2 linked regions of the Oreochromis niloticus genome follow. The protein of the gene in region 2 interacts with the protein of the main gene of each other region in a pairwise test. Links are inferred from orthologs where the notes say so. Each region holds a gene or a part of one and is shown on either strand. Other genes may lie near its edges.

Evidence for each region.
Region 1: the proteins of dachd (region 2) and rnf14 interact in binary tests that used the Homo sapiens proteins (3 or more experiments, as listed by UniProt). The two-hybrid records come from large-scale screens. The link is inferred for Oreochromis niloticus from reciprocal best matches to the Homo sapiens genes DACH1 and RNF14.

The regions. Positions count from the first base shown.
Region 1 is NC_031975.2:20,394,080-20,398,001, forward strand, and holds the start of rnf14 (E3 ubiquitin-protein ligase RNF14), read right to left. Parts: upstream 2,605-3,922; 5' UTR 2,448-2,604; exon of another isoform or gene 1,831-2,447; intron 1,824-1,830; 5' UTR 1,816-1,823; coding exon 1,665-1,815; intron 934-1,664; coding exon 803-933; intron 676-802; coding exon 522-675; intron 1-521. UniProt on the Homo sapiens protein: E3 ubiquitin-protein ligase that plays a key role in the RNF14-RNF25 translation quality control pathway, a pathway that takes place when a ribosome has stalled during translation, and which promotes ubiquitination and degradation of translation factors on stalled ribosomes.
Region 2 is NC_031987.2:22,932,882-22,936,803, reverse strand, and holds the start of dachd (dachshund d), read right to left. Parts: upstream 2,955-3,922; 5' UTR 2,695-2,954; coding exon 2,138-2,694; intron 1-2,137. UniProt on the Homo sapiens protein: Transcription factor that is involved in regulation of organogenesis. Seems to be a regulator of SIX1, SIX6 and probably SIX5.

The sequences.
Region 1 (3,922 bases), on a different chromosome or scaffold from region 2:
AGCAAAATTTACACCATTTATAAACATAAAATGCAATCTGTATATATGAATTTACACACACAAAAAAAATGCCTGAGATGTGAACAATGTGTACAAGTGTGTGTACCAATGCACATGACAGGGAAACAATTAATAGCTTTCAACCTTCCATCTTTCCAGTTCAACTTTCAGGGGAAAAAAGTGGATACCACCAATCAGATGTTAGGGAGCCATCAGCAAAACAACGAGAAAACTGAGATCCTCACACCCAGGATGACTATGTGTGCACCAAGTATTCTGCTACTGAGAAGCACCCAAAATGTTCATTTTAGGCTTAGTGCAGCTAAAGCACTGACAGTGTGCATGTTATGCTATAGTGGAATGTGGATCATTTCAGCTAACGACTAAGAAGACATGGCGAGGTTAAATAACATTAACAAATCTAATGTTTTGAGTCAGTTTTTCCCAATGTGCATAGTGTGTGGTGTGCGGTATCTATGCTCTAACTTTCACTGCACGGTCGGGTTTTCTTCACTCATTACCTGCTTTACTTCCTCCCCTTATGATTTCAAGAGGCGACTGGATACCCAGAAAGCCCAGAGCCTCTTCTTTGAGGAACTGGATCCATGTGAAAAGAATCACACAGCCCTGATTCTCCTCCCACAGCTCATCCAGTCGTCGGCATAGAGAGCTCATCTGAGGTGACATTGAGAAAGGTTTTGATATTTACGATGTACTGTTGACTCACAACATGAATATCCCAACATGTCCAGTATTTCTTGTGGCATAATAAAGGATTATCTGAGTTGTTATGAGTCCGTACCTGTGCTCTGGTCATCCATTTACAGCTGAGAGTGAAGAGTGGTGGGGATGTAGAGGGATAGTCTGCAGGAATCTCAAAGTTGACCACCAAAGGAGGTAGGAAGGAGACATTATATTCAGTTTTATTCTCTCCTGTGATAGACAGAAGAGACTTCATTACATTTTTTATTACTGCATGATTAGGAGAGAATAACTGAATTAACCCTCTGCACCCCATATTAGCTGTGGATGGCCAAACTCGCATACGATATGAAAAGGTTATCAAATATTTATATAGGGAAAATTGGATTTTTAGGACACTTGAGTCCAACATGTTGTTGTTTAGCGAGCTTGTTGTCAGCTGCATGGAGACCGGGGAGGATTGCATGTCTAACTTGCTGACGCTAACTGTGATAATATCAGTAATAAATAAGTATGTTTATGCAAGTTTTCTTATGTTAAAGTCCAGACTTCAGTACAGATGAGGCTTGAGGTGAGGAGGGGGGGATGAGATGGATGGAGGGAGGAGAGAGTAATGCTGTGGGACGCAAATGAAAAGATGAAAATATCAATGTAGAAATCTTAAATGGCCACATGCAGTTTGAAAAAGCCATCTCTCATCTTTGAATAAAACAAACTAATAATTTAAACTTTTAAGTAACTTTTTTAAACCTAACTTAAGCTTTCATCATGTTTATCACCATTGCCATTTCTTTCAGGAATCTGGACCATCTTAATAAAATTATATTAAGGTACAGAGGGTTAGGGTTAGCCCATCTCCACCAACGCATCCTGAAAAGTGCTTTATTATTATGAAACCTGTCAGATTTTTTCCCCCCACAGCTTACTTTTCTTTCTGTGCAAAGCCTACCGGACAGCTGTACCTTTGACTACCACTTTGAAATCTGGTGGGAGCTCCAGACAGAGCTGGATCTCTCCCCCCTGTGCAGACTCTGCCCGGTGAAACTCCTCTTCATCGTAGATACTTGCTAAAGCAAGCAGCTCATCCTCCTGGGCTTCCTTGTCCTCAGACATTTACATTCCTGCATTAACAGTGTGTGACAAACATTTATTATTAGAAATATCATGACAAAGCCTAACAAACCGCTAGCCCACGTTCATACTGACAGAAAGCTAAAAACGAAAGTAGCAACTTGCATTTTGTCCTTAGAAACATGACGTTTTCCTGCATTCACAGTTTGCAGCTTGGTTAACCGTGGTTTTCCCGGGACTCTTTTTATATAACAATGACTAATCACCTGAGAGCAAAGTACACAGTTTCCTGTGACATAACGTCAGCTTACCGTAGCTAACGTCATGCTACAATGTGGCCCAAAAGTTAGCAAGCTAGCTAGAAAAAGTTTACTTATCTATGTCAGACGTATTCCTAACTCCATTCTAATTTAACAGCAGCTAAATCTGAACCGTGAGTCAGCTTCAAAGCAGAAGACAGCTCCGTAACTATCAAAGTAACTAGGGGAAACCCATCCAGGCTAGCTTGCTGTGCTAGCTCAAACGGTGGTTTCTTGGGGATCTCGGCCGTCCTCTAACTTTTCTTCTGTAGCAGCAACACAGCGCTTTAGCTCGTCTACGCAACTAAGAATCCCTGCATAAGATCCCTAAGCCTCTAAGTACTAATTAACTATGGAAAAGGCAATGTTTCTTACCTTATGCGGCCAAAGCACTAATGACTCCTGCCCTGACTTCTTTCTGTCATGGCTACGGTGAAGGCGCGTCACCTCCAGGCTTGTGAGTGTATGACATCTTTACTTGCAATTTTGTTATGCTAACAAGCAGCGACCTCATGGTATTTAAATAAATATTGCACTTCTGTAAGACTGTACAAATCTTAGTAAACATACACCACTTCATTAGGTACACCTGTTCATTTACTTGCGTATACTAATATCTAATCAACCAATCACATGGAAATGCAGTGCTTTTAGTGACCTGCTGAAATTCAAACTGGGCATCAAAATGGGGAAGACAGGTGATTTAAAATATTCCGAGTGCGAGTATTTCAGAAACTGTTGATCTGCTGGGATTTTCCTACAAAGTCATGTCTTGGGTTTACAGAGAAAGGTCTGAACAAATAAAAAATATCCTATGAACAGCAGTTCTCTGTAAGAAAATGCCTTGTTAAAAATGCCTTTAAAAAAAAAAGGCTTTACAACAAAGAAATGCAGAAGAGCATGTCAGAAAGCACAATGCATTGAATCTTGAAGTAGATGCACTACAGCAGCAGGAGACCACACCAGGTGCCACTCCATTTCTGAGTCACATTTCAATTTTTGCTGTGCATGGCAGCATCCAAATTTGGTGTAAAAAAATATGAAAGCATGGATCCATCCTGCCTCGTATTAATGTTTTAGGCTGCTGGTGGTGTAATGGTGTAGTAAGCGCATGGCCCACTAGAGGACGCCAGGCCCTCCTCACAAAGCATGTTTTTGATTGTTTGGTCACATATTCATATCAGTGGCCTGCTGGAGGTCACTTTGTAGGGCTCTGGCAGTGCTCATCCTGTTCTTCCTTGCTCAACGGAGCGGATACCGGTCCTATTGATGGGTTAAGAATGGCCTTCTGTTCTAGGATATACAGCAGACCTGGCAGTGACAACTGATGTGCCATCCTGGTGGAGTTGGACTACTTCCGCCACTTCTACAGGGTAGGTCAAATGTAAAACTAGCAGCCCTGTCCTACTTAACTGACCACATCAATATTCAAGAAGTTTAAATGGCTTGAGGTTATATTCTGCTTAAAAAGTGTTTAATTTTTTGGAGCAGTGTATTGTGCAAGGTTGCAGGATGTTTGTAGAGTGTTTGCAAACCACATTAAAATAAGCCTTATTTTCTTTCTGAAAACTGGATGTAGGATATGCAATAACTACTGTGTTCAAGAAAAAAAAAAATCACTTTAGTCAGCTATAAGTCATTTTATTTCTTTAAATTTTTGCTTCTTTTTGGTGACGTGGCAACAACAGCAGCACCCAAAAAGGTGATTTGTTGCACCAGCATTCACACTTTTAAGTACAAAAAAACAAAACAACAAAACCCCTCCCAAAACAAAAAATTCAAGGCTACCAGAGAACAATAAACATACCAGTGCTTTTGAATGAGAAAAGCTCAACAAAGAAATACTGCAT
Region 2 (3,922 bases):
GTCTGAGTGATTGATTTCAGCCCAGCACAGGGAGAACCTGGCTGCTTTCACAGACAATTACAGTCCTGTCCATGTGCCTGTAATAGCCCAGCACTTTAGCGTCATTAAAGCGACGCGAGGCACTGCATTATCCTTTAACCCCATCGCTGGCCATCCCCCCATTGACAACCCGGAGAGTTCAACCACATACTTTGTCACCTGAAGCCCCACGCCAGGCTTGAGAGGAGGATCACCGCACTGTATGCTTCTCTCTATGGTGTGTGTGTGTGTGTGTGTGTGTGTGTGTGTGTGTGTGTGTGTTTGGGGGGGGGGGGGGCTGTGCTCTCTTGATGCTTTATGTAAATGATGCTTAAGCACCAAAGTGCACAGGTGATTCTTTTGAGACGACTGCAAGTGGGATGGAAATATAAGACTGCAGCATATTCATACGCGAGAATAAAAGGGGGGTGTTTACTGAAAGCATAGACTGCAACACAATGCTGTAACATAAATTTAAACATCTGAAGTGCACGACAAGCAGCCTCGTCACTGTAATAACATCACTCTCAGACTTCCTCACAGTGCTGCGCGTGCTATTTGATTTGTTGTTTTTCTTCTTTCGTTTGTTTGTTTGCTGTTTTTTTCCACATGTACCTTTTTAGTTACAGCAACACTTTGAGGCTTCAAATATGCTAAATGTTATCACACGTGGATTTCTTAATGACACAAACTGGCAATAAAGAAGAAGAAGAAAAAAAAAAAACATGCTTGCGCAGCAACTTTTGTGTACGCGTCTGTGTGAATATTTGCACGCTGCATCCGAACTCTGAATTAAGTTCGACCTCACACGGTTGTTTTTTTTTTTCTGGAGGGGACAAAAAAAAGAAAAAAAAAAAAAGGATGCATGCTGCAAAAACTGAGACTCAAAAGTGTTTATTGCTACCCTTCCTCCCCTCTCACCATCCCAACTGATGTGAGCCTTTCCATCATATTTGCATTTCCAGCTCATTTCTAGAGCCAGGAGATCAATATGGAATCAATCATACTGACAGGTAAGATGGTAAATTTGACCAGGCTGAACCATCCTGTGAGACTGAGCGATACATCAAAGCTAGGAGCAACAGGACAATAATAATTTTTTTTAAAAAGGCTTTTAATCAAATATTGATCTCTGCTTTAAATCACTCTGATTTTAAGATATTTTTTAAAAAACTCCAAAAATAACTGACTGGGTCAAAATGGTTTAATGTATTTATTTAAACACTCATAGTCCTTTGCCTCATTTGATTTAGTGAAATCAAGTATGTTTAATTAAGACAGATAACTGAGTGCTCTCATGAATTATCCTTAGCACTTACAGTGTGCAAAAAGAAAAGAAGGCTCCTCCATTAGTGCACTGTAACCTCCCTGAGAAATGTCATCAATACTAAAGGGGGGTGAAAAAAAATCATACAAGAAAAAAGCTGGCCCTTTTATTTTTCTAATACTCTGGTTCCTTCTTGTTTACTGTCTGAAAACTCAAGTTCTAATTGAAATCATGCTACCCCCTGTGGCAAGGACATATAATGAGGCATAGCCTAGTTTTATTTCAGTCATTAAAAAAATAAAATTGAGCTAAAAGCTGTCTAAAATTAAACAGAAATTGGAGTTTTAAAAAAAAAAGGAAAGCAAAGATGAGAGGCTCTTATTTGTGGTTGTATCTTTGTGGTGGCAGCTGTATACCTAAAGTTTATTCAACAGCAGTGTGAAACTCAACCAGGGTGTAGCCTACATTATCGATTCATTTGTTCAGAGGGAGACAGGCTATCCATCACGGCACAGCTTTGCCTTGCACGTGTTAAAAAAACTTTCACTTAACTTTTTTTTCCCCCTCTCTCTTTACCACTGGTGAAGCGCGCCGGTCTCTTCCTGCCCAAACACACCAGCCTCGGTGTTTGGGATGGAGTTTGACACACACACGCGCGCATTTTCACACACTCCTTATAAGAATCAATTATTAAATTCGGCCAAGACAATTGTACGTTTCTGACCGCTTGTTTTGCAAAGGCAAAATGTCTCCCCCTTTCTAGCTCCTGCGCCTTTACGCACGGCCGTGTGTGCGGACATTTAAACCCCCAAAAAAGAAAAAGAAAAATGCACAGCAGAGCTCGCCACTAACCTCGCATTGGTGCAGTCGTTGTAAAGGGTCTCGAAGTCTTTTCTGGAGATGAGTTTACAGCGGTTCACGCCGGGCTGGATGGCGCCGAGCCCTCTGAGGATGCGGACCTGCTCCACATTGCACACAACCGGCGTGATCTCGAGCCGCTTCAGCTTGGTGTAGACCGTATGCAGTCCGCCGACCAGGTGCTTCAGGAACAGGTCGAAAGCCTGAGGAAGGCAGATGAGCTCGCAGCCGTCCACGGTGAAAGAGGCGACTTTGGCACCGCGCAACTCGACCATCTTGCACTCGTTGTTTTGCGGTATGTTTTCAACAGGCGACGGGGTCGAGTACACGGGTTTGCTCGGGGGGAGAGCCGCGGTTGGGGTCGGGATGCCCGGGCTGCTGGTTGCGAGGAGCTCTGATCTGAACAGGTTCTGTCCGGGTCCCGATGGGGGGGCCAGGGATGGAGATGGTGATGAAGTTGTCGACGGCGGGGACGTCGTCGCGGAAGGAGTCGAGATTGGAGGCGGTGGGACCAGAGGGTTTGGTGGGATCAGAGCAGCCGGTACGGCCATGGTCACCTACAAGAGGGGAAGAGAGTAGCCGAAGTTCAAAGTAGAAAACCCAGCCTGCCGAGATACCCCTAAATGAAAGAATCCACGAGAGTTTAGCTCCTCAGATAAGTTGGAAAGTAAAAAGAGCTACCGAAAAAAAGGCGTGCTGAGTGAGGGTTTTTTCTTTTGGGGAGGGGGGCGAGCGGCGGGACAATGATCAAAGATAGGAGGAGGAATGACAGGAGGAAAATGAGCTGAAAAGTGCAGCTCCGCTCTGTGGATGAGTTGTTGTTGTCACACGGTACAGAGAGGGAGGAGCTAGGGGACAGTGGGAGCCTTTGAAGAGCAGATAACTGGGCTCCGGCCACTGCTCGCATGTTTCACGTCTGTTAAATGATTTCATTGCCCAAAGTAAATACGTTTATGCTGGATCATAAGTTGTAAAGAAAATCGTCTGTTTAAAAAAAATGTTTTTAAATCCCTTTTAGCCAACATTAATGCAAAGCTCACTTCACCTATGGCGATCAAGAGTTGAGTAATGTTTTTTTTTTTTTTAACTTTTGCTTTCATTTTCGTGCAAATACTAAAACAATTTTTTTAAACCCTCAAACGCTTAAAAAACAACTTTTAATTCGCACGTTATTTTTGGTAATTTTTGTCATATTTCCCCAGAATACACGCCAATATGAATCACTTTAGCAGACTCCATCTGTGAGGAAGGATGTTTGGTCTTTTTATGTGCACATCCAAAGTGGCTGTAACTTTTTTTCTTGTGAAATATTTTTTTTGTAAGAATTATGTGCAGTTAATTGCATATAAAGCTTTTAAATATATTTTTTAAAAAACCTGTCATGTGAGTTAGGGGTTAAAAAGTTAATGTATAGATTACATAAAGGTAGCATATTTTCTGGTAATTTTGTAAATTGAAGTCAGACAGTAAAGATTGATTTCCAACAGCTTTATATCATCTTTCACTTTAAGTGCATCCACTCAGTTTTATGTACTGTCCATCTCAAACCCCATGATACTTTTCACAGGAGTCAGGTGAATATTAAAAAAAATGTCATGTAAGTTAGGGGTTAAAAAGTTCATGCACTTAAAGGTAAAACCTCAGAAAAGAAACATTTAAAATATTAAACAATATTATAATATTTTAGAACTGAATATTGAAAATAAACCAGTAAGAACACAAAGCCATAAACTCCAGGAAGTGCAGGAAAGAAAGATAAGAGAGAGGGGGAAAATAACA